Arabidopsis thaliana: one gene and its partners. The protein of the gene in region 3 interacts with the protein of the main gene of each other region in a pairwise test. Each region holds a gene or a part of one and is shown on either strand. Other genes may lie near its edges.

The links.
Region 1: the proteins of FEI1 (region 3) and SFP1 interact in a protein complementation assay, tested with the Arabidopsis thaliana proteins (one large-scale study listed by BioGRID).
Region 2: the proteins of FEI1 (region 3) and UBC32 interact in a protein complementation assay, tested with the Arabidopsis thaliana proteins (one large-scale study listed by BioGRID).
Region 4: the proteins of FEI1 (region 3) and HVA22J interact in a protein complementation assay, tested with the Arabidopsis thaliana proteins (one large-scale study listed by BioGRID).

The regions. Positions count from the first base shown.
Region 1 is NC_003076.8:9,646,086-9,655,816, forward strand, and holds SFP1 (Major facilitator superfamily protein), read left to right. Parts: upstream 1-2,422; 5' UTR 2,423-2,872; coding exon 2,873-3,016; intron 3,017-3,158; coding exon 3,159-3,221; intron 3,222-4,365; coding exon 4,366-4,455; intron 4,456-4,587; coding exon 4,588-4,647; intron 4,648-4,787; coding exon 4,788-4,853; intron 4,854-4,938; coding exon 4,939-5,004; intron 5,005-5,172; coding exon 5,173-5,248; intron 5,249-5,395; coding exon 5,396-5,460; intron 5,461-5,559; coding exon 5,560-5,652; intron 5,653-5,793; coding exon 5,794-5,874; intron 5,875-5,966; coding exon 5,967-6,051; intron 6,052-6,418; coding exon 6,419-6,462; intron 6,463-6,837; coding exon 6,838-6,900; intron 6,901-6,984; coding exon 6,985-7,044; intron 7,045-7,134; coding exon 7,135-7,188; intron 7,189-7,296; coding exon 7,297-7,356; intron 7,357-7,457; coding exon 7,458-7,572; intron 7,573-7,951; coding exon 7,952-8,091; 3' UTR 8,092-8,341; downstream 8,342-9,731. UniProt on the Arabidopsis thaliana protein: Sugar transporter.
Region 2 is NC_003074.8:5,793,943-5,800,976, reverse strand, and holds UBC32 (ubiquitin-conjugating enzyme 32), read right to left. Parts: upstream 4,048-7,034; 5' UTR 3,682-4,047; coding exon 3,571-3,681; intron 3,083-3,570; coding exon 2,951-3,082; intron 2,853-2,950; coding exon 2,768-2,852; intron 2,629-2,767; coding exon 2,465-2,628; intron 1,948-2,464; coding exon 1,510-1,947; 3' UTR 1,230-1,509; downstream 1-1,229. Other genes in the region: REM22 (AP2/B3-like transcriptional factor family protein), read right to left, coding at 413-517; AT3G16990 (heme oxygenase-like, multi-helical), read left to right, coding at 4,194-4,325, 4,412-4,629, 4,725-5,040; NRPB9A (RNA polymerases M/15 Kd subunit), read right to left, coding at 5,278-5,358, 5,495-5,653, 6,093-6,168, 6,423-6,451; AT3G16970 (Plant self-incompatibility protein S1 family), read left to right, coding at 6,887-7,034. UniProt on the Arabidopsis thaliana protein: Accepts the ubiquitin from the E1 complex and catalyzes its covalent attachment to other proteins.
Region 3 is NC_003070.9:11,247,442-11,255,772, reverse strand, and holds FEI1 (Leucine-rich repeat protein kinase family protein), read right to left. Parts: upstream 6,156-8,331; 5' UTR 5,414-6,155; coding exon 5,314-5,413; intron 5,224-5,313; coding exon 5,088-5,223; intron 5,013-5,087; coding exon 4,941-5,012; intron 4,864-4,940; coding exon 4,792-4,863; intron 4,693-4,791; coding exon 4,621-4,692; intron 4,327-4,620; coding exon 4,255-4,326; intron 4,172-4,254; coding exon 4,100-4,171; intron 3,873-4,099; coding exon 3,784-3,872; intron 3,691-3,783; coding exon 3,532-3,690; intron 3,426-3,531; coding exon 3,093-3,425; intron 3,018-3,092; coding exon 2,769-3,017; intron 2,693-2,768; coding exon 2,559-2,692; intron 2,476-2,558; coding exon 2,257-2,475; 3' UTR 1,858-2,256; downstream 1-1,857. Other genes in the region: AT1G31430 (Pentatricopeptide repeat (PPR-like) superfamily protein), read left to right, coding at 36-1,748; AT1G31410 (putrescine-binding periplasmic protein-like protein), read left to right, coding at 6,428-6,689, 6,770-6,909, 7,005-7,253, 7,417-7,551, 7,640-7,822, 7,958-8,119, 8,236-8,331.
Region 4 is NC_003071.7:15,121,642-15,128,066, reverse strand, and holds HVA22J (HVA22-like protein J), read left to right. Parts: upstream 1-2,478; 5' UTR 2,479-2,604; intron 2,605-2,692; 5' UTR 2,693-2,812; intron 2,813-2,902; 5' UTR 2,903-2,926; coding exon 2,927-2,958; intron 2,959-3,047; coding exon 3,048-3,146; intron 3,147-3,572; coding exon 3,573-3,629; intron 3,630-3,736; coding exon 3,737-3,800; intron 3,801-3,903; coding exon 3,904-4,038; intron 4,039-4,147; coding exon 4,148-4,231; intron 4,232-4,337; coding exon 4,338-4,643; 3' UTR 4,644-4,947; downstream 4,948-6,425. Other genes in the region: AT2G36030 (uncharacterized protein), read left to right, coding at 296-508; AT2G36026 (Ovate family protein), read right to left, coding at 251-802; E2F3 (E2F transcription factor 3), read right to left, coding at 5,174-5,271, 5,367-5,436, 5,563-5,806, 5,980-6,056, 6,146-6,211, 6,332-6,380.

The DNA of each region.
Region 1 (9,731 bases), on a different chromosome or scaffold from region 3:
CACATCACAATGTCATATAGATAGGTTGTAGACGGACTATTTTCTGAATTGAACTGGGTCGTGTTTGTAGACTATTTTTTTTTTTTTTTAATTCTATCGACTGATCCGGTGAGTTTCAATAAAAGCACACTGAAATAGTTCAGAGAGAACGTTTTTTCGAAAGACCACCACATTATATGTCCTAAATTTTAAATGTTTTCTAACTAATAACAGGGTTAATCAGACTACATGTATTTATGATTATTAGATAAATCAATTGAGCCAAAACTTAACTAATAGATTTTCCAAACAAATTTTCCAAACAAATGTGACAGATTATTTATTTTACAAAAAAATTGTTTTACATTAAAACTTTAAATAATTTCTACACCGAAGAATTGAATTTGCAGCACAACATAAGAAATCATGAATGATGGTATGGCATGCATATGTTAATCCTAACAAAATTCATGATTCCCTATCCACGCAAGCTAGCTTGCTTGTCCAAATTAGATTTGTTCAACTGCATAAACAAATTGTCAATTTCCAAAGAGGCACCAAAAGTCAAACCATAAATAGGTAGTTTGGACAATTATTGGGGATATAATGGATTAGATCGTAGATTCAGGAGAATTTAAGGCAAGTAAGTTGGTTCTCTATCTAATGTTCCAAGGGTCTTATCTATGTACTTCGTTTCGATGATTAATTGATGTAGTTAGTAGTTTCAAATTCCAAACGACTATTTGTATGTACAATTACATATGGATTAATTGTCAGATAACATGTTGAATTCTAACATGTTTCTGTCTATCCGATTTTAGATTAAAGTTGTTTATACAAAATTTTAGACAACACTTAAATTAGTACTATCGTTAGTTATATAGTTCCATTAATCATTTCTCCTTCTGTATGGTTTATTTGGACAGATATGTCATTAAGCGTTTAAAAATATTTGTAGATTTGATAATTTGTCAAAAATAGCATTTATTGATATTATAGTTGATCCGTACGCGTTACGAATTCTTTAGTTGACCTTTCTTTTTTTATAATCTCCTAATATTTAAAATTCAGCAGCAGACTGATGAATAAAATTAAATACTTGGTTCCATTTCTAGATGGTAACAGGTACAAATATAGATCCTCACGTAAGAATAATAACAACGGAGGACAAAAACGTTAAATTATGATTAATTAAACATTTAATTAAAAGTATTAGCAAACTCAATCAAAGAATGACTAAAAGGTTCTAATAACTTGTGAGGTATTTAAACAAGTTAATGTAAAAAAAGAAACAAAAAGGTTGAAACGTACGGTTTTCATCCAATGATTATGAATGACTATAAATGATTGTTTTTTCTACATCAAATATGGAGTTCCATCGTCATCCAATTTTCTTTTGGTTACGAGTGAAAACTTCTTAAAACACCCGAATATAGGATCTGATTGATAACCAAAAGTTGTACAAGTTTTTTAGCTGTTAACTTTATCGAAATAGTGCAAAACTGTTAAAAGAGCTGTATAAAAAAACTGTACAAAAAATCTAAGAAGAAAACTTTTTGTAACGTTTTTGATAAAGTTTTTGTGATTGATAACTATCAATACTGTACAAAGCTGTATTGTGTTACCATTCAAACTTATAATGTTATAGTCTTGGAGAGATATTTTTTTTACTCAAAGATATGAATTTAAGTTAAAATATTCCATAATCCAAACCAGCAATATATACACATTAATATAATTTAAATTGCATGGAATTCAAAATAATACTTATCGTGAATCCATCTAGATACGTTGAGATAAGGGACCAATCAACAAGAGAAGACGTCACTTTTACAAGTTGAGAATAATCTTTCAGAGAGAAAAAAAGAGTAACTGTCGATTTTTGTTGATCCAAGGTAACGTATATGTCCTGACTCAGATTATTGCTTCCAATTATATGTGAAAAGAGCTTTCTCCACATTGACATATAACTAGGATCATTCGCTATAGACGATTAATCGTTGTTTATAATTTGTTATAAAAAAAACTTTGGTATTTTAAAGAATATGTCAATATTTTTTTCATACTACAGTATTTTTAATTCGTCAAACTATTTAAGAATACGCTCATGACAAATGATCATATAATAATAATTTAAATAGTACTTGTATTTATTTTTTCAAGAAGAAAACTTAGTTGAATGAAATTTGACTTAAAATGATATAAAGGGTTTGAATGGTAACCATTTTAATAACAATACAGTTTTGTACCGTTTTGACAGTTACCAATCACAATTTTTTTATCAAAAACGTTACAAAAAGTGTTTTACTCTCAGCTTTTTTTATACAGTTCCTTTTAACAGCTTTGTACTATTCCGATAAAGCTAACAAATAAAAATTTTGTACAGCTTTTGGTTACCAATAAAACCCAAAGTCTTACAAAAAAGGTCTTACGCGTCCACGTTAGCTTTCCAATCCAACCCTTAATTAGAAGTCTTCACCATTTGCTGGTTAAAGGATATTTTTTCAAAGTGTTTAGCATTTTGTATACGTCAAACTATTTTAGAATCCAGATGATGAATGATCATATACTAATACTTAGCTGTATTTTTATAATTTAAAACAACAAAACTTGGTTTAATGAAATTTGACTTGATCTTGTTTAAAAAAACGTCTCACGTCCACACGTTAGCTTTTCCAATCCAAAACCCCTAAAGAGTAGAAAACCAAAATAACCATTTTTAATTCCCAGCCTCTTTTTATACGTAGTCTAAATTGACAAACACATCATTCGCTCTCTTTCTCTTCTTTCTCTAGCTCTCTTGGTTTTTTGCTAAAAACAGAGCATTTTCTCTCTAGCTCTCACTGTTTCTTTACCATAAGTTTCGTCATATTAGTACATGCAAGTGTAAGGGATGGTGATGGAGGAAGGAAGAAGCATAGAAGAAGGGCTTTTGCAGCTCAAGAACAAAAACGACGATTCAGAGTGTCGTATTACTGCTTGTGTTATCCTTAGCACTTTTGTCGCCGTTTGTGGCTCCTTCTCTTTTGGTGTTGCTGTGAGTTTTCTACTTTACCTTACTTTGATTTTTTCTTCTTCTATAGAAGAACAAATGAAAACAACAAAATTGTATGAAAAGAAAACATACTTCATAATTACGTTATACCTATTTTCTTATAGTTTTTGTTGTTTTTATACAGACTGGTTACACTTCAGGTGCTGAGACAGGAGTTATGAAGGACTTGGATCTTTCTATCGCGCAAGTATGTCTCTCTTTTACGGTTTTTCTTCTATTTCTAAAAACATGTATTGAAAATTAACCAAGTAGCAAATTTTATCAAAAAAAAAAGACTAAGGCCATGAATGTTTGTAGTTTTTAAAATGGTTTTTGGATTTTGGTTTTTAGTTTTTGATTTTCTTGGTTTTTGTTTTTGGTGTAGATTTTAGTTTCTTAAAAACTTGAATGGTAATTTGTTTAGATTTTGGTTTTTATGTTAATGGATTATATTTTATTTTACAAAAAAAATCTAAAAATAAAATAAAAAATGTGATCGATGGTTTTTTTATAGAGAAACTCTCAAAACATAGATTTTGATTTTCTTTGAAAAGTTGTTAAAACACTCAAAAACTAGATTCCCTATTTTTTTAAGAAAACTTGTTTTTTCAAAATTTTGAATGGTTACAAAATAGATTTTAGAAAAAACTAAAACCAAAAACTAGTTTAAAAACCACATCCATTCAAAGTTAATTCTTTTATACTATCATCCTTAAACAAACAAACAAAGTTTTGTGTATAATTAAGCAACTGAGAGCGAGTGACATATTGACATATGCAAAAAATAGCTAGGTTAATTATCGTTCAATTTTTATCAAAATACAAGCTTCACATCATTTTTAAATCCGTAAATATTTGTTTCTTTATTCATTCAAATTGAAACAAACAACCATCAATTCTAAAGAAGAAACATATAGATTGTCGTTATCCCATTGAGTTGATTATACTTCTTTGTTGGTGTGGTTCACCTCCTTTTTTACCCATTTTTTAAACTCTTATCATAACCCTACCAAAACTATATATATATATTATCCTGATATATATGGAATTGTCGAAATCATCCAAAAAAAAACATTATTTATCATAATAATAACCCTACCAAAACTATATATATGCACATATATCCTGATATATTGAGCGGTTGTCAAAATCATCTTATAAAAACATTATCTAGCTATCAACGTTTCCATCGTTCCAGAACCATTCTCCGGCCAATTCTCTCATCTACAATAATAGAAATTTGAAATATTGAAATATTATATATATATATATATATATATATATATTAAAAATAATAATAATAATACTATATATATGAAAACTATATTTGTTATAAATCATTTTTTTCTCAGTTTTCAGCTTTTGGCTCATTCGCCACTTTAGGAGCTGCAATTGGTGCACTGTTCTGCGGTAATCTGGCAATGGTCATTGGCAGAAGAGGGGTAATTAATTTAACCATTTCACCTTTCATATTCGTAATTTTACCATTCTTCTATTTTTTTGGTTCTTTCGTGACTATAATTTTCGTATATATGATGCTTATAATAATATTTTTGCTATTTATGATATAATAGACAATGTGGGTCTCCGATTTCCTATGCATCACTGGTTGGCTCTCCATCGCTTTTGCTAAGGTACTACTAGTTATTTTCTATTCATAAACATGTTTTTTTTTTCATTCAAACATTATTTCTTAGAAAATAAACAAACCAATTAATTTATGGTTATTATAAACCCAATAATTAAATTTATGTTATGTTTTGGAATACAATAGGAAGTAGTGTTGCTGAACTTCGGAAGAATCATTTCAGGGATAGGTTTCGGCTTGACGAGCTATGTGGTAATTAACTTATTATTATTATTATTTAATATCATCTTTGTAAGTTTGTTTTCTGATCTGTAATTTTTGCTTATTTACCAAGCAGGTACCTGTCTACATAGCAGAAATTACGCCAAAACATGTTCGTGGTACATTTACGTTTTCAAACCAGGTAATACTTTAGGTTTTTAGAATATTTATAAGAATGAGTGCTGACAAAAAAAAAAAATAGCACAAACTAGTCTAAGACAAACCAACCAAAATCCAAATTAAAACTTTTCAAAATTTCTCGTGAGTATATTGATCCTTGTTTCATTCTTGTGTAATTATTGATTATTAGCTTCTTCAAAACGCTGGACTCGCCATGATTTATTTCTGTGGGAATTTCATCACTTGGAGGACGTTGGCTTTATTAGGTAAGACTATAAATTCCATATTCATCGTGAAAAAATTGTTTTGAGACGTAAGAATATGTTAAATGTATAGTAGAAAAAAACTGGAAATCTTCAGCTGTTATATTATAGCAAATCAACTGATAAAAATGTAATACGTTTTTGGTTTAGGTGCTTTACCATGCTTCATTCAAGTAATCGGTTTATTCTTCGTGCCAGAGTCTCCAAGATGGCTGGTTGGTCATTTAATTTTTCTTTAGTGTTTTACGTAATTTATTAATTATTATCAACCATGAGAAGAAAAAAATTTAAACCAAACTATTTTCATTTTGAAGGCCAAAGTTGGCTCCGATAAAGAACTAGAAAATTCACTGTTTCGGCTTAGAGGAAGAGATGCTGATATTTCACGTGAAGCCTCAGAAATTCAAGTGAGTTTTACTATATACTATTATCAGTTATAATTTATATAATTTTCAATAAATATACATTCCCTTTTTCTTTGAAATTATATTTTCATTCCTTCACAAATAAAAAAATGTAAAGTCTGAATAATTCTGTGTTGTTTTCAGGTAATGACCAAAATGGTGGAAAATGATTCAAAGTCGAGTTTTTCAGATTTGTTCCAGAGAAAGTATAGATACACCCTCGTGGTACGTACAAGTACATCAAACTAATTTCTAGAGTATCAAATTTTCATATTTAATTTATCTGCACAAGCATTCATTTTTAATTAATATCTCAGGTAGGAATCGGGCTAATGTTGATACAACAATTCTCAGGAAGTGCTGCTGTAATCTCTTATGCAAGTACCATTTTTAGAAAAGCTGGTAAGCATTCATTTATTTTTATTAATGTTTAATTTTATATTAAAATGTCAGAAATAATAATAACTATATATATATTATATGACAATCTGTTCAAATCTGCAAGTGAAGATTTGCATAGAAGTTTCAGTTTCTCTGAGAATGTTTTTTTTTCTAACAAAACATATTTTATTCTACCAATCAATAGATTATGGGCAAAGGTCCTGAACTCCTAAGATTTCTCAAAATAAAATTAAATTGTGTATTTATTTTGTAAAATGATGCCATTAGCTCATTCTAAATACTTTAAGAGAAAGGGTTTTAGTAAATATTTACCATGAGTTCCTCTTTCCATTTTTTTTTGCTCAATAATTGTTCTGGATGGAAACAGGTTTTTCGGTGGCCATTGGAACGACGATGCTAGGTATCTTCGTGGTAAGTATATATAAATGTTTTTCTCAAATTTTGTTTGACTATATGGATGCAAAATTTAAGAAATGAAACTACGTCTCTGAAATCTGTTGTTATTGAGCAACTAAACTTGTGTGATGTTATTTAACCTGGTATAGGTCGCGTTTCTAGGAGATATAGAATTTTTGGGTTTCAACTTCCAAATATTCAAAAAAAAACAAAACTTGTGTGATGTTGGCGTTTTAATCGACATTTTATCACAGTTGAAAAAACGACATTTTTTATTTTGTTAAAATTTCGTACTTTAATGAACTCTTTGAACTAAGAATTTTCATGTACTAGTTTTTTTTCTTTTAACTCGTGAAAGCATTGAATGGTATAATATCTGGCTATTCGCAGATTCCAAAAGCCATGATTGGCCTCATTCTTGTCGATAAATGGGGCAGACGTCCTCTCCTGATGGTGAGCATGTCTTTAAATAATTTCTGGCTGTTCGCAGATTCAAATCTATTAGTCTATATTGATTTGATTACTATTTTGACATAGACTTCAGCGTTTGGGATGAGCATGACTTGCATGCTACTTGGGGTCGCCTTCACATTACAGGTTATTTTTTTTGTAAGATAATTACTATTTTTATTTATTCTGTTTTTAAACCAATAACTTATTTGTTTAACAATGTTTTTGCATGAGCAGAAAATGCAATTGCTTTCGGAACTAACTCCAATATTATCGTTTATATGCGTAATGGTAAGACATTATATCTCCTTGTACACAATCTTTTTGATGAAAATATTTACGTTGATGTTTCTTTTACATATAAAATATAGTTAAAATTGATATTTTTTAAATCGGCAGATGTATATTGCAACTTATGCAATAGGCTTGGGAGGTCTACCTTGGGTAATTATGTCGGAGGTACATAAATTTACTTCACTGTTAATTTTATTTCTATGCAGGAAGTAAGTAATATGTCTTGAAAAATAAAGTAATATATGTATGATTTTTGGTGTGTGCAGATATTTCCAATAAATATAAAAGTAACTGCAGGAAGTATAGTTACGTTAGTCTCATTTTCAAGTAGTTCAATCGTCACTTACGCTTTCAACTTTCTGTTCGAATGGAGCACTCAAGGTATTATGTTTTTCTTTTTCTTAATATCCATTTTATACAATTTTGGTTATATAAATTATCTTGTGATCAACAAAAAAAGTTATAACTTATCCTTTTTTTTTGTATATCGCATAGAAATAATCAATGATTAAGTCTAGAAAACTTATATAGTTTTCAAAGTCTGTGTTTATAGCATTTCAATGAAACCTCATATACATTTTATAACACAACTATTTGTTTATTTTATTTTAAAAGACTAATTAGTTAAATTTTTGGTTGAGTGAATATGTTATATAGTTTGTATTTATTTTATTTTCTCCTAATGTCTATATATATATATATATATATTATAATTGCATTTAATTTATAATTTTCTTATATAGTTTAATTAATGTAATAGGAACGTTTTTCATATTCGCGGGTATCGGTGGAGCAGCGTTGCTTTTTATATGGTTGCTCGTTCCAGAAACGAAAGGATTATCACTCGAAGAAATACAAGTTTCACTTATTCATCAGCCCGATGAAAGAAATCAAACTTAATTTGAATTATTTTATTTTATTATAAAAATGATCAAATTCAGTTTATGGTGTTATATTTGTTTATTTACAAACAAGGATTTTTTTTTTTCATTATGTAATTACTACTTTATTTTTCTGGGTAATTAGCCCCATTTTTATGATGTATATTTACGAGATGTAAAACTTGGCCTACGTACATGTGTATTTTATCTCTAAAATTGCAAATGTAATATTTTTCGGACATATATTAAAGAAGAGATTGATTTCTAGTATTGGGTAACTAGGGTAATTAATGATGAACAATAAACATGCGATTAATTAATCTAAACTGTTAAGTCCTAATATTGCTGTTTAATATGAAGTAGCTAGTATATTTAGAAAACTATATATTTCGAAAACGTGATATCTCATAAATTTGATTTAACATTGGATAACATTTGTGGACCACCATGCATCATGCGTGCTGGTAAGTTGATTCGACAAATTTCTGACGTTTGTAAGTTGATGGCTAATATTAATTAGATTATGCATTGGAACCACATAGATATTTCAAAAACAAACATATTTAGGTTCGATTCATCACTAGTAATATATTGTTTTGACCAAGGACTTTACTCATGCCCTGAAGCGACAATCTGTCTATGGTGTTGCATGTTTTTGAAACGAAAATCTGTCTCACAAACCCTGTGGTTAATATCTCCTCTGGCTGAAGAATATGAAACCTTAGATTGGAAAACCATCTATGAATTTTTGTCTTTGAAGGTTTTATCACTACCGCATCTATTATCTCTATCCGTGAATATACTGAGCTTATCCCGGAGTGTCAATTTAGACACATCTCTGCCGGACGTTATCTTCATCGACTATCCACTGAAGCATCTTGACACCACTTCAATCTAGCGGCCAAAACTAGGAGTTGTGATTTCCCTGTTTTTGCTTAAGCTTTTTCGAACCATAGCTAACTGTTCCCCGACACACATCCAGCTAGCTTCCGATCTAGAATTTCATTCTTACCTGACTTCAAGGGTCCTCGCCATCCAAGCTTCCCCGTCATGGAAAGAACCTTGGCTCTGGTTCCATTTGTCGTTTGTGCCGGCGAATAGTGAGACTAAGTACCTTTAGTAATCGTCACAAAATCTTTTGATAGTGACTAGTTCTAAAATACCTGAATTGTTCGTGGAAGTCTCTTTGACACACCAAGAACTCGCTTGTGGCATGTTGCTAGCTAGCTTCTGTCTCTGAGATTTTATCATAAAATTTTTATGGGTCTATCCTCAATGCTTTTAACTTATCCTAGCTATCTTATCTTTATTGTAAGAATGTGCTTCAAGTACTTGTATCCTTTGTTTCTCCTCTTTTGGGTTTGATTGAATGAAATCAATTATGTTTTGCACAAAAAAAAAAGACAATTTGACAAACACGTGAATGCAATTTGATTGAGTTAAGATTAATTAGTACAAAACATAATAATTGAAACCCATGTAAGTTTGGTTGATTCTATGTAAACAACCGTTTTTCTCAAAAGGTATATATTTTTTTGTTTTTGGCATTCAAAAGCTATAGTTTGTTTCTAAAGTAATCATTTTTAGCTGATCAAAACCAAGTAAACCGATTAATTATTGTGTGAATGATAGTTAGGTGTTGCATTTGTGTGTAAATGA
Region 2 (7,034 bases), on a different chromosome or scaffold from region 3:
CTCAAAGATTAAACTGTTAAGAGTCTTGAGAGCAGAGAAACAACAGATTCAACGTTTCAAAGTCAGAGAACGTAAATATTCAGAGATTTAACAGATTCAACCTTTCATTAAACAAAGACAGCCAAAAGCTAACAAGATCTAACTTTTTTTATTTTTTTTACAAGATCTAACTTTTAAAACACACAGAACCTAAAGATTCAACCCTCGAGAAGCTGAGACCCTTAAAACACCAGGGAAACAACAGATTCAACGTTTCAAAGACAGAGAACGTAAAAGATTCAGAGGAAAAACAGTTGCAATCTTTAAAACAAAGAGAACCAAAAGATGAATAAGCCGTAGACTTGAAACCCATTCAACAAAAAGAAGAAAAAGATTCCCACTTTTCAAACAAAGATATCAAGAACAACGTTACCATGCAGTCAGAGGATAGATCTGCCCTCTGAAAAATCTTGAAAAAGCTCAACATCTGCCGTTCTTCTTTAATCCGATCAAAAACTATGTTACTACTCTTACCCATCTCTCTCTCTCTTCCTTCTTCTATCTCACTCAGAACCTCCTCTCCTTCAAGTTTCTTTAGTATAACTCTCTCTCGCCCTATCCCTATATCTCTCTCTCTGGTGTTATAAATGGGCAAAAGTGAGTATCCAAATATGTATGCTTCTTTTCATTAAAAACGAGTCAAGGTTATAATAGTGGAAAAAGCAGTCACGTTCCCATAAATCAAAGTGTTTTTTTATTTTATAGTAATAGGCAGATGAAACAATTGCTGTTAAAAATCTGACTTCAAAGACACGCAAAAGCAGTGTTTGCTAGTTTTAGTACCTGAGGATCCCTGAGCAATAAGGACTGATAGACTTTTAACTTAGCTTCTTTTGCCACCATCCCTTCTTTTTTAAAAAAATATTATTTTCATTACGATCAACTTCATTTATTAATTTGAACCTTCGGTAACTTTTTCTCTTTTTAACGTTATATGGCAGTCAAAGGTCAAAGTTGATAACCTTTTCTAAACTGAAAAGTAAAAAAATAAGGTACAAGATGAGATCACACCAAACTAATGTGTGCAGAAGATACCCCAAAACTAATATGTTTCTGTAATTTATAATGAAAATACACACAAATATATAAACCACACGACTCACTACATGTGTGTTCATATACATACATATATGATCAAATTGTTAAACTTGACCATGAAATCTATTGATTTAAAAATTTGGATACATTTTAGACATCATGTACTCAAAACGGGAAATAGTTATGAACATAGTGGAGGTAATCAACAATTCTATTAACAAAGCATCAATGTATTGATAAAACGGTCGTCAGTGTTCAATTCCAAAATACATATTGTTAACTTGGTCACAAGCTATAATCCAATCTATCAACTAAGTTGCAAGACAATGTCACACAGAAATTATTTACGCCATTATGCACTTTAATTATATTTATAAAATATTAAACAACACAACCCCATTTCTTAAACGCAGCATTGACTTTCATCAGAGTTCAAGACTGATCATCCATAAACCCAGTACTGTAACCATTTGATTTTATGAACTTCTTCAGAAGAAGAACCATGATAGCGATTGTGAGCCCAACCGCCGCCCACGTGAAGAGTCTGTCATCGACTGGCTTCTGAGCCGCTCTTCTGGCCATCCTTTGCTCACCACTTACAGAAGCTTTGACCACAACTTCAACCGCTGGTAAAGGTGCTGCAGCGGGAACCACACTAGCTGCTGTATTGACTGCTTCAGCTGTCTCTTCTATGATTTGATCATCAACTATGGTGTCTGTTGTAGCGATGGACCGCTCTTCTACTACAGTTATCGCTTCCTGTGGCTCAACTTGGGAGTGAGCTTCTGATACGATGGAAGGTGCTTGGCTACATTCCAGAGGAAGAGGTTTTGGAACCACGGTTGCTTTGCTAAGGATGTACTGATGAATCTGCGCTTGTTAAAAGGTCATGGTTACTAAAAGTTTTTTCCAAAATTGAAGATGAATCAGAGGTATGAAACTAAAGTCATAACAAAAATCATGAAGAAAGGGACGAGAGTTTAGACCAAAAGGAGATTGTTAACACTACTATTGTCTTTTTTTTTATATTTGTGCAACTGACTACTTTTTAAAAACGACAATAATCAGTAAAATGGTGTGTTAGGACTTGAGCAGCAAATTTTACTGTATGGAGAGAATAATAACAGCTGTGATTGCAGTTAAAACAAAGCAGATACTCTTAGAGCAAACATTAAATCATAACCGCTAGAGATATGCAAGCCTAATATATAATATATTGCGATCCCGTTTTGACCACCAGCTAGTCCTATGGTTTATAATGATGCAATGCAATGGTATGGCACATACTCTACAGGTTCAGCAAGCATCTAGCTAAATTCATATATTTTCATCAGGATATTATGCATAGTGGTTCAACACCCAAGGGTATTCTAGTGGGGAACTATACCTCATCAATAATTTTTTGCCGTTCAGGAGAGCCATACTTAGGTGGTGTCTCACGTGATTTAATGGCTAGTGTACGTCTCTCATCCTTTGGATAATCTACTGAGCCCAGTGCTCCATTGGGACTTGTGGGCATAAATGCAATGAGAGCCACCAAAGCAGTCCGAACTGAAAAGAAACAAAGCTCAATCATAATACAAAAGAGCTGATATAGTTCAACCTCATGTAAATTACAAGTGTCTGAGTAATCTTTTAGGAAACAACATAAAAGTCAAGAGATAAGGTCTCTTGAGATCCATGACTTTACCACTCCATGAAGGTTGCCAATGCTCAGGGTGGTAGTTTGAAATGCTCAAGCAAATCTTGGTGTTAGTTTCAAAGCGCCCGTTAGGCTGAAACAAAAGTACAGAGATTCTTTAGATACATACTCTCTTATGGAACTTGCAACATCTGTGTGTTTTTATATATGAAATAAGAGTAAGATCCTTACGGTCAATAACATGAATGAAGGAGGTTTGAATGGATAATCTGCAGGCAACTGAATTCTCCCATGATAAATCCCGCCCTCGAATTCAGTATCACCAGGACCTCGGATGGCGAATTGCCACTCAAAGATATTCTCCTGAAGTTAAAAGATAGATAAGAGTAATCATGTAAACTATTTGGTATCACACAAGAACTTGTAAAAAACAGCTATAACATCGCGCGCAATCTATTTGGACCATGACATGTTGGAAAAAGTCTTCACAGTTAAAAAAATTAGAAACGAAGAACTAGTATGACAGCTGAGTGGATCAAGGAATCGTTCGTAATCTTCCCCACTTGACTCAGTTATTCCAATAAAAACACAAAAATCCAAACTTTATCTGTTGCACGAGTGTTGAAAGTAGAGAGACTTAGTAAATTCAGTGTATACAAGAAGATATATCGATCCTCCCTAATCATGATCGCCTAAAATCAAACACCATCACTCAGAACAGATACACAATTACAACACAACACAACATAACACAACAACATAAGACAAGGGGATTTTCTCAAAAAAGGAAATTTCAAATATAGATTCGAATCAAAATTCCCGATCTAAAAAGCTAGAATCGGAGATGTTACCTCAAGAGGAAGAGACATAAAATCATCAGACGGATTAGCTTGCATCTCCTTAACCTCCTGCAAAATCCTCTTCACCGCCGGATTCTTCCGATTATACCTCTCATCCGCCATCTTATTTATCCCCACGAGATCTTGCCGGAAGTGCAATCCGCCGCCGGAGTTCTCTCTGTCCGATTCGTCTTAACAGAAAATAATAAATACACAAAATTAGAATTACCACATGGCTTCGGGAGATGAGCTAATTAGTACGGTGATATAATACAAACACACAAAATTAATTCCAAAACATTTTCCACGTCACACTCTTTAACGACGGATACGTGACGTGAGAGAGCTTCTGAGTAAGTGCCACGTAATTAATAAACTTTAGTCATCCAAACATCTCAACGGTTCAGAAACTGTCACGTAATCTGAGAAATTTAAGCGCCTCTTTACAGCCGTCGATTTGGGAGAATCATTAAGCTATCGTGGCGAGACTTTAATAGGCCTTGGCCCATTAATTTAAAGCCCAATGAAACGTGCACGTCACAGACAACAGAAAATCAAAGCGTTGACAGTGAATCGGTGAAGAAGAAGAGTCTTGAGTCTTGAGTCTTGAGAGAAAGGAAGAAGAAGCAATTTCAATGGAGAAGAGAGGGGTGATCGACACATGGATTGATAAGCACCGTTCGATCTATACGGCGGCTACACGTCATGCTTTTGTCGTCTCGATCCGTGACGGATCCGTTGATCTCTCGTCCTTCAGAACTTGGCTGGTACTGTAATTAGTAATTACTGATGAAAACAAGGCAAAATATGAAATCTCACTCGATGACTTTTAAACGACGTTGTTTCCTTGTAGGGGCAAGATTATCTGTTCGTGAGGAGGTTTGTGCCGTTTGTAGCGAGTGTGTTGATCAGAGCTTGCAAAGATTCCGGCGAGAGTTCCGATATGGAAGTGGTGCTTGGTGGTATAGCATCGTTGAATGATGAAATAGAATGGTTTAAAAGAGAAGGATCGAAATGGGATGTTGATTTCTCGACCGTTGTGCCTCAAAGAGCTAATCAAGAATATGGCAGGTTATTGATTTCATATATGCTGATTGAATAGATTTCTCACACTCGAAAATGAAATTAGGAACCAGCAAATAAACCGGAGTTTCTGGTTAATTCAGGTTTTTGGAAGATCTGATGAGCAGTGAGGTGAAGTATCCGGTGATTATGACAGCTTTCTGGGCAATTGAAGCAGTGTATCAAGAGAGCTTTGCTCATTGTTTAGAAGACGGGAACAAAACTCCGGTGGAGCTTACCGGTGCTTGTCATCGTTGGGGGAATGACGGGTTTAAACAGTATTGTTCGTCTGTCAAGAACATTGCCGAACGTTGTCTGGAGAATGCCTCCGGTGAGGTGCTCGGTGAAGCTGAAGATGTACTTGTACGAGTTCTTGAACTAGAGGTTGCCTTCTGGGAGATGAGCCGTGGAGGACAGTAGCTAATGTTTGGGTTTGAATTTCTCATTTCCTCTAAATGCCAAAGAGAAACAAGTTCCAATCTTTATGTTTGGTGAAACACAAGTTGAGATTATGGTTTCATAACAGATTACATGAATACGGATTTGTCTCTGACTGGGGCAGAAGGTTGTTCCCGTCATTCCACATATTACACTTACTGGTAACTACATCAACTCCTAAAACTCTTAAGAACTCACCAATTGAAACCGAAAAGCTCTTTATTCTCTCCAGCGATGACCACAATTCGGGTTGCAACAGACAAAGAACAGTGTCATTCCTTCTTCACCTCTAGCCGTAGCCTGCACATTCAATGATAGCTACATTAAATCCTCAAGCGGTGTACAGAATTTGAGCATAATGTTTTGGGGAAGCAAACAGTGAAGATACAGCATAACCAAGTAGTTAAATAAATAATGGAGCTTAAGAGAGTTATACCTGGAAGAAAACGGCCTCCCTATGCTGACACTTAGAGCAACGCACAGCCTTGGTTCGGGGAAGAGTAGGGTCAGAAGCCACGTCTGTTAAGATCTGAGTTCGCTCACTTACAGAGTGATGAACCTCGTTTCTGTACACACAGCTGTTATCAGCTACCTCCTGCAAGTCAGTGCCACAAAAAGTATAAATTCTGAGATGAGGACAACAAACCCATTTACATGATCTAATCTAATCTGTCAATTTGTAACAACAAGATTGATAATGCAGCTTAAAAAATTGCAAATAACTACTCAGTTTGTGTAAATCAATAAGCTAAAAGAGGCCCTTCAAGTATTCATATAGATCTCATAAACACAACACTAGAAAGATAAACCATAAGAACTTGCTAAGCCTTAATTGAAGGAGTTAGTAAATAGAGAGGTTGGTAAAACTAAGGAAACTAGGAGCATTAAAAGAGAGATAAAAGCAGGAAACAGTTTCATTAAAGTCTCTTAATTGCAATGAAACTAAGTCCCACTCGCAATTTTGTGCACTACATTGAACACTAAAAACCCTTTTTCCACACAAAAAAAAGGTACAAAATGACCAAAAGCTATACCTGGTGATCACAATTACGGCAAGCATAGAGGAGGATCTTCTGTTCTTTGTCCTCCTTAGGATACAGAATGTTATTACTGAACCAAAATCAAACAGAAACAACAATGCAATTAAGAAAGGACCCAAAAACAAAATTCGAAAAAAGGTACTCACTTTTAGCGAATTGTCACCTTATCAACCATAGATGGTTCAACCACGGAAGAAATACATCAAAAGTAAACAACAAAAACTAAAAAATTCATGCAAATTTCGAAACTTTGAAAAAACCTAGACGAGCAGAGAGGTGCAATTCCAGAAACTAGGAACAGAATTAGCATAAGAGAGCTCTTACCATTCGCGGCAAAATTTCATAGTACTCATCTTAGCTGAATCTCTTGAGAGAGAATTAGGTTCCAAAACCAAAACTGAATCACTGTCTCAGAGAAATCTGGCGGGCTCGTTTTGTTTATTAGGAGAAAAATAATGCGATCGTCGTTCTAAATAACAGAGTCGCGTGATCGATCTTCGGATCGGACGTAGTTTCACGGGTTTTCTCGGGCTTTTGAAAATGTTATTGGGCTTTTATAAAGCTTATTGGGCTTAACACCATAGTTGACTACATATACATCAACCATGACATTTAAGTTTTTATTTGACCACATATGAAGAACAAAAAACATGTTACGGAAATGTAATAAACTGGTAACACAGTATATATCGAGTGAAAGAGTCATTCATCCATATACAATAATTTCATATTGCAACAAAAAAAAAAAAATGGGATCTCTAGTAGAACTTGTGGCTTTCTTAGTGACTATGTGTGTTAGTGTAACAATATCTCGAGGCCAAAAGGATAGCATCCCTCCAACTCCAACATCCGGTTTCGACAACCCAAGAACAACAGTGGTGATATACAATGATCTTGGGGGTCATCTGCCATTGAGATACCATTGTAAATCAAAAA
Region 3 (8,331 bases):
CATTCTCATTATCTCATATCATCCCCTAAAGAGACATGAACATGAGTTTGTTACAAACTCCATCACTTCTTATGTACAATAAGATGCTCAAATCTCTTGCTGATGGTAAAAGTTTCACGAAAGTTTTGGCTTTGTTCGGTGAATTGCGAGGACAAGGATTGTATCCTGATAATTTCACGTTACCGGTTGTTCTAAAGTCAATTGGTCGTTTGAGGAAGGTTATAGAAGGTGAGAAGGTTCATGGTTATGCTGTGAAAGCTGGGCTTGAGTTCGATTCTTATGTATCTAATTCACTCATGGGAATGTATGCTTCATTGGGTAAGATAGAGATCACACATAAAGTGTTCGATGAAATGCCTCAACGAGATGTTGTTTCTTGGAATGGGTTGATTTCTAGTTATGTTGGTAATGGGAGGTTTGAGGATGCCATTGGTGTGTTTAAGCGGATGAGTCAGGAGAGCAATTTGAAGTTTGATGAAGGTACAATTGTGAGCACTCTTTCGGCTTGTTCGGCTTTGAAGAATCTTGAAATTGGTGAAAGGATTTATAGGTTTGTTGTTACAGAATTTGAAATGAGTGTTAGGATTGGGAATGCGTTGGTGGATATGTTCTGTAAATGTGGGTGTCTCGATAAGGCTAGAGCGGTTTTCGATTCGATGAGAGACAAGAATGTTAAGTGTTGGACTAGTATGGTTTTTGGGTATGTTAGTACTGGTAGGATTGATGAGGCTAGAGTTTTGTTTGAGAGAAGTCCTGTAAAGGATGTTGTTTTGTGGACAGCTATGATGAATGGGTATGTTCAGTTTAACCGGTTTGATGAGGCATTGGAACTGTTCAGGTGCATGCAAACTGCGGGAATTAGGCCGGATAATTTCGTGCTAGTCTCTCTCTTGACAGGTTGCGCGCAAACGGGAGCTTTAGAGCAAGGAAAATGGATTCATGGGTACATAAATGAGAACAGGGTTACAGTAGATAAAGTAGTTGGTACTGCTCTTGTAGACATGTATGCAAAATGTGGATGCATTGAGACAGCTCTAGAGGTTTTCTATGAAATAAAGGAGAGAGACACAGCTTCGTGGACATCACTTATCTACGGTCTTGCGATGAACGGGATGTCAGGAAGAGCGCTGGACTTGTATTACGAAATGGAAAATGTTGGTGTTAGACTAGACGCTATAACATTTGTCGCGGTTTTAACAGCTTGCAATCATGGTGGATTTGTAGCAGAAGGCCGTAAGATTTTCCATTCGATGACCGAAAGACATAACGTCCAGCCTAAATCAGAGCACTGCAGCTGTCTGATTGACCTACTATGCAGAGCTGGTTTGTTAGATGAAGCAGAGGAATTGATAGATAAGATGCGTGGTGAAAGCGATGAAACTCTAGTTCCTGTATACTGTTCTTTACTTAGTGCTGCTAGGAACTATGGGAATGTAAAAATAGCAGAACGGGTAGCGGAAAAGCTTGAGAAAGTGGAAGTAAGTGATTCCAGTGCTCATACTCTGCTTGCAAGTGTATATGCATCTGCTAATAGATGGGAAGATGTAACTAATGTGAGAAGGAAAATGAAAGATTTGGGAATCAGAAAGTTTCCTGGTTGCAGCTCCATCGAGATTGATGGGGTTGGTCATGAGTTTATTGTTGGAGATGATCTATTATCACACCCAAAAATGGATGAGATCAACTCAATGCTGCATCAAACGACAAATTTGATGTTGGATTTGGAACATAAAGAAATTGATAGCTGAAACTTTCTTGTACATTCTCTAACTACTTCCCTTATCATTAACATTTGTTTCCCTGCTAATGAACCGGTTTTGAATCGATGTTGGTTTTGAATCGATATCAGCTTCTCTGTAACTGAATCAGGATTGATTGAGACTGAAGAAGAAGAAGATGAAGGAACATGGATTATTTCAAAAGAACATAAAGGCAGAGAGTAGTTTTTCTACAAAGGTCACAACTATACAATTCAATTTCATGTTCAAATAAAAGTTTTTATACCAAAAATCAGAACAAAAAGAGAAAGGGCTGAAAATGAATGGCTCGAATCTGGTAAAACTGGAGGGGCAAAGTAAATGGCAACACAACACAAAGACTCTGTTCCATTAACTGGAAAATTATGGCTCTTCGTTGGTATTTGCAGGTTTTCTCGGGGAGCAAAAACGGAAATCGAATAGCATTTGAAGGCTTTCCCCGGGAAACCGGACTCGGTTTACTTTTTTTCTCGAGGTTTCGACTGGTGGGTTTATGCAATTAATCAGAGCTGGAATCATAAAATTCGCTGGGACAAGGAGTCATGACCTCTGATTCAAGTAACTGGACAACCCGATGCATCGTTGGACGCTCTTCTGGACTCGGAGACACACACTGTGTTGCTATTGATAGTAGAGCGTCAAGGCTCTCCATCTGCATTCCTTCACAGTTTGGATCAACAATATCCCTTGGCCGTTTTTCGCTGATTAAGAACTTTAGCTGTAAATCATGAGTCAAAAGCTTTTTTAGTCAAGTTTGTCGTAACAAAATATCAGTATTGAAAAAGAATCTTATTTGCATACCCAACCAACAACGTTAAGGCCTTTCTCGATGAAGGAAGCATCGGTTGGTCTTTTCCCACTCAAGACTTCAAGAACCAAAACCCCAAAACTGTATACATCGGTTTTCTCAGTTGCTCTACCACTTTGCATATATTCTGTCAAATGGAAAAGTCTCAGCATTTGAAAGATCAAATCTTTATGTAAGTAAAGACTTTTAAAAGGCATATGTACCTGGAGCTAGGTACCCAAATGTGCCTGCAACAATGGTTGTGATATGAGATTCTTCGTCTTCCAACAACTTGGCTAGACCAAAATCCGATACCCGTGCCTCGAGATTGCCATCAAGCAAAATGTTGCTCGACTTTATATCACGATGTATAATCCGAGGAGAACAATCATGATGCAAATATGATAACCCTTTCGCAGCTCCTATGATGATATTTACGCGTGAATCCCAGTCCAATTGCTCGCCTCTCTCTACTAATTCAAGAACCAAACTTCTCAGTGAATCATTCATAATATGGAAGAGAGCCATAAAGAGCAGATTGATCATACCATGAAGTGCTTCATCAAGGCTACCACCGGGCAAGTAATCATATAACAGTAGCTTTGATGTTGGTGAATTGCAATATCCACGTAGATTCACGAGGTATCGGTGTTTGATGCTCCCAAGAATCTCAAGCTCCCGCTCAAAAAACCGATCAAACCCTTCGTTTAACTTTAGAATTCTCTTCAATGCAAAGACTTTGCCATCATCCATGGCCAGCTTATACACCGTTCCAAAGCCTCCACATCCAATTATGTGCTCTTCATTCAACATTTCCAGCTTCTTAATGATATCTTTGGAAGAGTAAGGTAAATCTCCGTGGAACATCACAATAGACGCACCTGAATTGAAAAAGTCACAATGAAGATTTAGGAGATAGAGAAAAATATGAAATTTCCCAATATTTAACGAGATAATATCTGTACAAAAAAAATCAATACGGCTCACCTCCACCAACATCCTTTGCAAGGCTTTTAATCTCGACTTTACCGAGCTTTTTATATAGAAAGCATCCCCAGAAACACATGAGTGCAACTAGGAGTAGCGCACCTACAGTTGCTGATGCGCTAATCAGCAGCTTACCAGAGTTTTTCTTTTGATTTTGACCTATAAAGTATAAGACACCAAATAAATATAACTTTACTGATAGAGAGCCACAACAAAACCTGTATATCACAAGAAATTCATAATTGCTTTTACCTGATTGAGAATGTGATGAAGGGTTTCCACTATCATCTTGGCACACGACATCAACATGCTTTCCACACAAGTTAAGATTTCCAATGAAGCTGTAGTAGTAACGCATCAGTTTGAGAATCATATAATTTCAGTCGCACTGATACAATCTAGCTAAATAGTTATGTGGTTCAAAAAATCATCTCGAATATAAGCGAAATATGAAAGATCAGCTGTATAAATGTAACTTTAGAGGATTGACAAAAAAAAAAAAAAAATGTAACTTTAGAGGCTTTATTTTTCTATCCCTACAAGAAGAAAAGGGTGTTTATTGTCTTACGAGTTCTTAGAAAATCCAGAGAGCACTCCGTCTGAAGGTATTTGCCCCACCAGGAAGTTGTTCGAGACATTGCTTCATAAGACAAACGAAACAGAAAGATTCACAGGACTGCAATATGATAAATTACAGCGGAAGTTAGAGATTAAGGTGCTCACAAGTTACTAAGCTTTTTTAACTGCCCAAGCGAAGCAGGGATAGGTCCACTGAGAGTGTTGCTTGACATGTCCCTTGAAAATAAAATAAAAAAGTCAAAAGTCAGTTTTAGTAGAGAAAAGAGAACAATCAATATGTGAATCTGAAGTAAACAATACATTATCATGCTTTTCAAATTGCTCACCAAGAGTTTAGGTATAACTAGTTCTGAATATAATGTGCATGAGAAGACATTATGCAGTCAACCATATGTTACCATGATCCTAGATGGTGATAGAAGTAAATGAAAACAAAAAACAAATAGATATTGCATACACTAAAAGAAGGATGCACTTGCAAGTACGTATAGGGAAGAGAAAAAAACATACAGCTTTTGAAGGCCAGGCAGGTCTCCCATTTCAGCTGGGATTGGTCCAGTGAAGTAGTTACTCTGCAAGTGACTGCAAAACCAGTTGGACAATTTTGATGACCATAAGCAACTGGAATTGGTCTCTCAGAAACCATGTGGAATCAGTATAAAATCCTGGAAAAGCGCTTACATTTCCTCCAATGCTGTGCAATTTCCCAATGCTGTAGGTATTGCTCCATATAAAGCATTGTTGTGAAGCATTCTGCAATGACACACAGATGATCAGAATCGAAGTACTCTCTTAAGCAATAAAAATGAATAAGGCTAGAGAGCACATACAAAAGCCTTAAATGGTCCAACTTTCCAATATCAGGAGGTAAAGGTCCCATTATTTTGTGATAAGTAAGATTCCTGCGAAACAAGAGTATTAGGGAGCACAAATACTGAAGAGAAAACCAGTAAACCTTGACAAGTTTGAAAACTTACAAGGTTATAACTCTTTTCGTTTTTGCATCACATGTCACTCCGTTCCAGTTACATGGATCTGGATCTTCCGGTCTCCACTGATGGATGAAACTATCTGATCTAGTAACTGCATTTCTGAAGCTCAGAAGCGCCTCGCCTGAAGAATGGAAACAAGCAATAAAGGATTAAAGCTCAATAAAAGGTCCAGGACGCTATGAATAGTAATAGTTGATTCATATCGACGTACCGTCAGGACTAATCGCTTGACTTTCATTAGATAGTGAGCAAAGCAACGAGATCAAAAGAAGCCATGAGCAGCAGCTTTTCATCTCACAGATGCCCATCATGGCACTGTCCAAGCATAATATAACTACTACCAATCATTTGAAAAGAACAGCCTCTTGGTTGTCAGTTATTAGTTGATTCCATGTCTATGTTCAAGTAAGAAACTAGACTCCTGAAAAACAAAGGAAAGCCCACAAAACTAATTGTCAATTACACTACACATTAAGCTCAGTCTCCACACAACTTATGCATGCTCTCATCTACATTTTGAGTACTCAAAACAGTGAAATTGCCTCACAAGAACCAATACACACTTTCCAATTGCTAAAATCAGAAAACGAGAGCTAAATTCGGCCAACAATCTCAAAATCATCATCAACAAAAGAGCTCAAAAACAGCTCTAGCTTAACATAGATTACGAAATTCCCAGATACCATCCAATCCTATAACACAATAACAACTGAAGATTCGAACAATATAACAAATCCAAAAAACGATTCAGCAAAAGACCCAAAACCCCACTCTTTCCAACAATATCAAAGGTTATAGCTTTAAAAGCAAACAGAATTAGTAAGAATTATAAGAACCTCTAAAAATGGATCCGAGAGGAGGAAGAATTGAGACAGAGGAAGAAGAAGATGACTAATTTGAGCTGTAAAGCAAAAAAAAAAAAATATAACTTAAGGAGAAGATAAAAAAAACAAAAAAGGAATCGACTTTTTATTTTGTTTGTGTGATTTATGGTAAGAGTGAAGAGAGAGAAAACTAGAGTGAGAGAGAGAGAGTGTGTGAAGAAGAAGAAGATGCTTTCTTCTCCAAAGCATACGACCAATGAGAAGAAACGAAGTGGGTCTCGCACGTGCCGATCTTGACCTCCCACACGTGTCAACCGACGCTTTCTTCATAAAACCCAATTATTATTGCCAGCTAGACCTTAGCTAAGCCTAATCTCTACAATGGTCGAAATCATTGGGCCCATTTTTAAGGCCCATTACGGTATAAGCCCAGCGGTTTGATTGAACCGGTTTGAGATTAGAAGCCATTGTTGTCCGTTGTTTCACCATCGCGTTATATCGATGGCTACGGCGGCGATTATTTCCGTGAAACCGCCGGCGAGCTTCTACTGCGGAGGAAACCGACGCGACGGAGGAAGGGGAATCACCATTGCACGAGTTTCTCGAGACGAACGGTTTCATGAGAGGATCGTTGGTCTCTCTGCCTCGACCGTGTTGTTCATCGGTTTAAGTAGCCTCCGCGTCTGTTCTCCGGCCTCCGCTCGAATACTACCACCGCCGATTGTCGTTACAGAGAATGAAATCAACACAGAAACTGTAGCTGGTGCGTGAAATTGAACATTTTCGTCACTCTTGGGATTTCGATGGATTTGAATTTTGTGTTCCAATGGAATGTTTTTGCAGGTGAAGAGAATCTAAATGAAGTTGAAGATGAAGAAAAACTGGAAGCTGATTTCGAAGCGTACAAGTCTAAAGTGTATTCTCTTACTGTCCCGCTAAAACTCGTTGCCTTGCGTGGCTCAGTGCCACCATCATGGATCAAGGTTTTAGTTTCACTTGTCTGTGTTTCCATTTCTATTTTGAATCTTAAGCTTATAGTTGAAAATGTATGTTGTTGGATTCTGTGAATGGAATTTAGGAGTTTATGAGCTCACAAGGGAAGAGAGTGAGGTTAAAGACTCAGTTTCGAGGAAATCTTGAAGAGATCTTTTTCGATCTATCGAAACCAAGTAAGAATGGAAAAAAGGGGGCTGCTTCAACTGCAGCAGCTGATATGATCAGCATTGGTGATTCTTGGCTTAGTTTTGCTATTAAGGAAAAGCTAATTGAGCCAATGAAAGGGATAGAAGATCAAGACTGGTATAAAGGCTTGAGTGATAAATGGAAGGTGAGAATTTAAATCAGTGGTTTAACAATATGAATATGAGTCTTTTTGAAAGAACACTAGCTTGAGAGATTTTAATAGGCATAATCTTTCATGTGTTTTGTTTTCGTACTCTGCTAGCTTGGGAATGTTCATAGGGTTCATTTCATGACTTAGAAAGTCTCAGATTTATCTCCGCAGGAACTATGCGGGAGAAAAAGCTCCTGACGGTGAAACGTGGGCTGTGCCATACCGCTGGGGCACCATGGTTATAGCATACAAAAAGAGCAAATTTCAGAATTATAAATTGGCACCGATAGAGGTTGGTATACTTTGTTGTTGCTAAATGCTGTCTTAGTGTTTTCCTATTTAAAAGAAGTGAATATCACTGAACATTTTGCTGAATTTAGGACTGGGCTGATCTGTGGCGACCCGAGCTTGCAGGAAGGATCGCAATGGTGAATTCTCCTAGAGAGGTTGTTGGTGCTGTTCTCAAATACATGAGAGCATCATACAATACGACAGACCTGGATTCACAAGTTCCTGGCGGAAGATTAGCAGTGGAGAAAAATCTGGCATCACTCATGAAACAGGTTATTACCTCTTTACTATCTCTCCATACCCTAAAGAGAACAGATGAGTTTAGGCTGACGTGTTTCACTCAACCTCTATAGTTATTGAGAAAAAATGACAATGGTGGCTGATCTTGTTTCCCCTTTTGCTTATAGATTAGACTATTTGATAGTAACAACTATTTAAAAGCTTTCAATGTCGGAGATGTCTGGGTCACTGTTGGTTGGAGCAGCGATGTTATCCCTGTCGCAAAACGTATGTCTAATGTTACAGTGATTGTTCCCAAATCCGGTGCCACCTTATGGGCTGATCTATGGGTAAGTTACCGTCGTAAAATCACTTAACCCTTCATCTGATATCTTGAATGCTTCTTGTTCTAAAGACGATATAACATATCTGGACACTAAACCGTGAAGCATAATTGTTTTTCAAGGCGATCCCGGCTGTTTCTGACTCTGGTAAAGAAGCAGAACAAAGAGGAGGACGAGTCCGAGGCCCATCTCCATTAATCAACCAGTGGATAGAATTC
Region 4 (6,425 bases), on a different chromosome or scaffold from region 3:
TTCTATTCTTATCGATTTTGGCCGAATATTACTACAAAAATCAACATTGAAACAAGTAGCAACCATATTATAATTATTCTACCATTGTCGTTACACTTGGTTAAAAGACAAAGAAGAAAATCCCAAAGCTAAGATAAGAAGTTAAAAAGCACAAACCCAATAATATATTGACACGTCAGTAGTAGTAAAATGGATAGTTAACGTGTCAATACATTATTGGTGACGTGGCATAATTCGTAGTTAAAAAAGGTTACTTCGAGCGGTGGTAGTGGTTACGGTGTGACGCACGTGAGCCATGACGGTGGACGAGTGGAGACTCTTGGACGTCTCCACGGCGTTTGGCAGCGGAGAAAACTCCGTCCCAGATTTCGGAGAAAGCGCGGATGATGATGCCGTGGTGGTATGGCTCGTTAAGGGAGAGGAAGCAGTGGAGAAGCTCTCTGAGATCGTTTTTGGAGTAAATCTCGTTCTCGAGAATCATCTGAAGCATGGACTGTCGGAAATCTAGGTAAGGATCGTCTGAGTCTTTCTCGACGGCGACAGCGGCGGCGGAGGGTGTTGCCGAGGAGGAAGAGGTGTCAGAGAACCAGTGGGAGGTGGAGGGAACGGCGGAGGAAGAGGAGGCCGTGGTGGGGGTGGAGGAGTGGCAGTGGCCGTAATTAGAGGAGTAGAGGCGGGGCTTTTTGGGGGAAGGGTTGAAAAAAGAAGACAAGCTTGGGAACTTACAGTTGCCACAGCCGATGTCTACGACAGAGACTGCCTTAAGGACCATCTTCTTCTTCTTGCTTTTGCCTGTCGTCATTGCTTTGCTCTTTCTTTGTCTCTCTGTCTCTTACTCCAAGATGAAATAGATTTTAGAGAGAGAGTGTGTGAGGGAGAGTGAGTCTACTTGGATTGGTATTAAAGGGTGCATGTGGTGACTGAGGTGGATTAATGAGAAGTAAACTCTTAGCAACAATATTTAATTTGATGTTCAATGACAGTTTATAATTTCTTTTAAATTTTTGTGAGCTTTTAAAAATATGTTAGTAAATGTCTACATTCATGAGCATTAATGTGACATATACTTACTCCACTGATCTATGAAAATTATGAGATGTGAATATAGGATTATTATTTAAGTTGACTATAATGAACTATAATGGTATTTCATATATAATTAAGCCTTCCCATTACGATTTAGGTTCTAGTTGGACGATCTATATTTTTCTTTTTGTCAAATCTAACCTTTTTTTTCTTCAAAAAGTCAGATGATCTTTAGTATGTCATTTGCATTCAATAGTTATACTATACGGTCGTTAATTCATTTCATACACAATTATTTTAAACTACGTTTTAAATTTTAATTCGAATATATTATTTTTTTAGGATTTACACATGGTGTTAACAAATATTACAAGAGAAGTTGTAGAAGTACTCAATAAGAGTTTGTTTTACATGGATTTGTGTTGGGCCTTCATGAGCTTTGTACAGCGCCTTTACAACACTCAAATAAATTGTCACTCAAGGGATATAAACCCAAAGGCCGTAGCTCCTCCAACACAAATCCAGACCACTCTTTGTTTCCAGTATTACTATTATTCCTCTAAGTACATTAGAAAGGTGTATAAACTTTGTTTTACAACATATAATAGAAAAATAAACATTACTGTTAAACAATACAAAACTTTACAGAAAACGTACAGTATGTTTAATTATTGATAGATTAATATTTAGAGGCCGATGAAAGGTGGAAGTTTTTTTATGGGAACCTGGTAGACATAGAATGTTGTAATAATATTGTCCATCAATCTGATTTTCGATTTGAGATTACCTAGTGTAAAATATAAGTAACATAAGTAACAACTCACTTATGATCACTGCACTATTAAGTACTTCTTCCTCAATTCCTTATTACTCCAAATTCTACAAAAAAAAGTTTGTTGCAAAAAGATACAAATTTTAATTTTTCTATACAAATTTTAAGTGTGGAAATTGTTAATCACAAAAAATAATACATTTAGGATCAATTTTTTTCATGTGTGAAAAACTTAGAATTTGGATTAATAAGGAACGGAATTATTTTGAGTTTATGTTTGTTTGGAAAAAAAAAAGACTAGGTTTGCTTCAAATTATCCATTGAATAAAGGATGTTTAGATGAGATTTTAATGGATTTCAAAAGATATTCTAGTAGTTTATAGAATTTCGTATTTAGTATTTTTTTTGAAGGACAGCAGAAGAATATATATTTATTAGTGTAAAATCAGTCAAACTTAATTAATTTGATTCTTCAAGGACTTTTTTTGTAAATTCATATGAAGCGTCGAACAATGTTAAATAACGAGGATAATGAGACAACGGTCAAACGGTCAAACGGTAAACCCGTTCCTCTTACCCCCAAATTCAAGTAGCTTTTGTGGCAAGAAACCGTTTACTTTTTGTAATTTTTTTGTTTGTTTATTGACGTTTATATATTTCTAAAAAAACTAAACCCTGATGTATTCCAATTTTAGAACTTACGCGTCTTCATAATCTTCCTCTTTTTTTCTTTGTCTTTGATATTCAAAGTTTTTGTTTATTTTTTCTTTGCTTAACCCGGAGAGACACCCTCTCCATAAATTTAGGTTTGTTTATAACAACTTATACATATTTTTTTCTCTTCTAATAATAAAACTCTGTAACCATTAAACATGGTTTTGATCTCATTTGCAGTTTTGATCCCTCTGGGTTCCTTGAAGAAAAAAACACCAATTCCATTCATATTCTTCTTCATACGTTCAATAATTCTTACGAGGACGAGATCTTCCTAACGTCTTTGATCTTCTTCATTAGGTTCATTTGCATTTGTTAAACGCTTAAAAATGGATCTATTCGTCTGATATATATATGATTGTTGAATCGGTTTTGTTATGATTGTAACAGGAGATAAGTCTAAACTGGTCGAAGATGTTGGGAGATTTCATCATCAGACTCCTTGTGTATGTCCTAACCATATCTCTTTTTTTCTTTTGATTAATTAATCATGTATATTGATGTATATATATAATTGAAATGGTGAGAATGGCAGATTGATATTAGGGTACACATACCCAGCATTCGAATGCTTTAAAACGGTGGAGAAGAACAAAGTTGATATCGAGGAACTCAGATTTTGGTGCCAATACTGGTATTGAATTATTTATATATGATCCCCTTTTTTCTATCCTCGATACTTTTAAACATTCATATATAATGTGTAGTGTATGTAGTAGATTTGTAGTGATAGGCAAATCGATTTTAGTTCGATCATAGTGATATACTTTTCTCTGTTATGGGTTTTTGTTTGATTTTAAAAGAGAAAAAAAATCAAAATTCCGTTAAGTTGATGTCTTCTGCTAGAAAAACCATTTATGAATACACCTCATCTTTTGTACAAGTCTTTGGTTTCGAACGTTGATTATATACCTAGTCTGGGGATTACTGGGACAATTGTATTAGGTTTATTTTAAAGATATCTCAATATATGTGATGCACGTAATTCTAATATGATAGTTTATTGTCAATATGTACTCGAAAATATTAATTTGTTAAACATTTGTATTTGAATAATTAGGATACTTTTGGCGCTAATTTCATCATTCGAGAGGGTTGGCGATTTTTTTATCTCATGGTAAGTAAGTTTTATTATTAGTTAATTCATGCCTTAATCCATCTCTGTCTTAAAAAATATTAACAATCATCAAATAATTAATTGATATATGCAATTATTATTTGCAGGTTACCGTTATACGGAGAGATGAAAGTAGTCTTCTTCGTATATCTCTGGTACCCTAAAACAAAGGTAATATAATTTTTCCTTTTAAAAAGTGATTAGTTGGATCATAATTAATTAGTGGTTTATGGTGATGTACAAATAATAATAACGAAATAAATAATGAATGAAGGGAACGAGACATGTGTATGAAACATTGTTGAAGCCATACATGGCTCAACACGAGACAGAGATTGACAGAAAGATCATGGAGTTGCGAGCTCGAGCTTGGGACTTTTTCATCTTTTACTTCAACAACTTCGCCCAGGTCCTTTTTTAAATTATCTTTCTATTACTTATATATACAAATTGTTCTTTTTAAAGGTTTGACTAAATTATTATAAGATTAACAACATACATATAATGTTGATGCACAGGCCGGTCAATCCACCTTGATCCAGGGTTTTCAGTACGTACTCGCCCAATCGGTCCGGTTCTCTGCCGCTGCAGCTAACCAACCGGTACTTTTCTATCGCTTTTGATTTTCGTTTTATGTACTAATGCAAACACAATCTTGTGTTTATTACCTCCCTTTTGCACTTTTGAATTTTTGTGTTTGTGCTAAAGCCAACGGAGAGGAACGTGAACATGAACGCGCAGTCACCGGTGGAGATGGACAATGATCCTCCATCACCGCGCGCTCCAAGACCGCTGAACAAATCACTATCTGCGTTGCGATCGCTAGAGAAGCAAACAAGCAGAGGGAGGAAGTGGCCGCCACCAACACCACCACCAACACCAGGCCGAGACTCCGCCGGAACATTTAACGGTGATGATGGAGTCAACATTCCTGATACAATTCCGGGATCACCCCTCACTGATGCTCGAGCTAAGCTGCGACGTTCTAACTCCAGAACTCAGCCAGCGGCATAGTAACGCAAACGTACATATACGTGACTCGACAAAGAAACCCTTTTCGTTTGTTTAAAGATATATAGGGAAAGAAAAGTGAATGAAAGTTTTGAATTGAAACAAAACAGATTTTTTTTTTTTTTTCATGTTTTCTGTAAATTGAAGCAGTAAGTATTAATACAGCGAGAATATTTGTGTTTGTTTTCGTTTAAACTTCCCGCTTTAATCCGGATATTGATTTGAGTTTGGATTTCTTCATATAGCTGATTATAAAGATGCATTTGAGTGGTCAAAAATATTATAATCAAATAGTGTACCAATGCAGCCGATGAAGTACATTCTCTGTTAAACTTACATTAGTTTCTCGGTGCTCCTCTACAACATCACTCTAGGCGATAAATGAATCATAATCTAATGGTACATTGTATGGAACGCACCTGCCATTGGTTCATACACGTTCTGTAGTTGCTCCCTCCTTGTATATGATTTTAGGGAGTGTTGTGAGGTAACACATTTGGGATCAGAAGTTGAGAAGTGTGCTTGGTATTCGATCATCTCGGGGTTGAGTCAACAGCTGTTGGTGCTATTTCGCCCATTCCTGGTGGTGGAGTACTCACGTCGGCTATTCCATAATCCCAATCGATACCAGCTTTTGCTAGAGTTAAGGATTGCGTATTTATATCTTATGCAGATAGATATAGTTAACTATAAGAGAGAAACAAATTGCATATATGCAAAGGATACAGTCAGTTTTCCAAATATCCGTCATGCTAATCTCAGCATTTGAGAGAAGCCAGTAGTCCGACTCATCATTCTGCAAAATACAAGACCAATATCAAACAACAATTATGAGGGTAGATTTTGAGTCAGGTTAATTAGTTTCTCTGCACAACTTCCTATTTCTATGTTCATTATAAAAATAAGCAGGAAGATGGCTTACTTCAACATCAGAGGGAGTAATCTTAAGCATTCCTCCTACTTGCTCTTGCAAATAATTAAGATCAGAGGTATCGCCGGGTTGAGGATGAGGATGATCATGAGACACAATAGCAGTTTCTGGGTTGTCAACAGTTAAGGCTTCGATGTCATGGTGTCCTGTAGATCCTGAGCTAGAAGCAATAGGCAAGCATGCTGGTGGTGCTGCACCACTCCCATTTGTGTCTTCGAATTTCCCTTCAAATTCGCTGAACATGAAGACAAAGTAAAAGCATGTAAACGGGACAATGAATGTTCCAAATCATAGAAATCTTTGTTTTGATACGTTCAATTATATGTATACCATCATCAGTAGAGTATATGAAGTCACGGAAAATGCCAATAACAATGTTTCTATTATTTGAAGCCAACGCATAAATACCTGACGAGGTATACGTCAATAGGTCCCATTGTACTTCTAAGAATGATCCTGTATCTCCTTTGTGGGTGGTCAGCCGCCTGTCAAGTAAAGAAGAAACATTATAATAACGTTTTGGAATCTAACAAAGAATGGCAGATGTCATCCAAGGTCGCTGAAAAAGACTAACTTCATCTGGATCAGGCACTTCCAAAGTTGTGCCATGAGGAGCTTTGACGGCTATCAGAGTCTGGTTCTGCAGAAACAGCAAAGAGAGAGTTAAGATATAAGTGAACAAGAAAGTCTTGGGATCGACATACATACAATCAATTGATCAAATTCCTAGGATTAAACATATGAAATAGGAAAGACAGACCTGGAAACCTGGTAAACTCTTGATATCCTCTTCAGTTACAAAAAGCCATCTGGACAATGTGAACGGATTGGTTAAGTGTCCATCATATAAATAG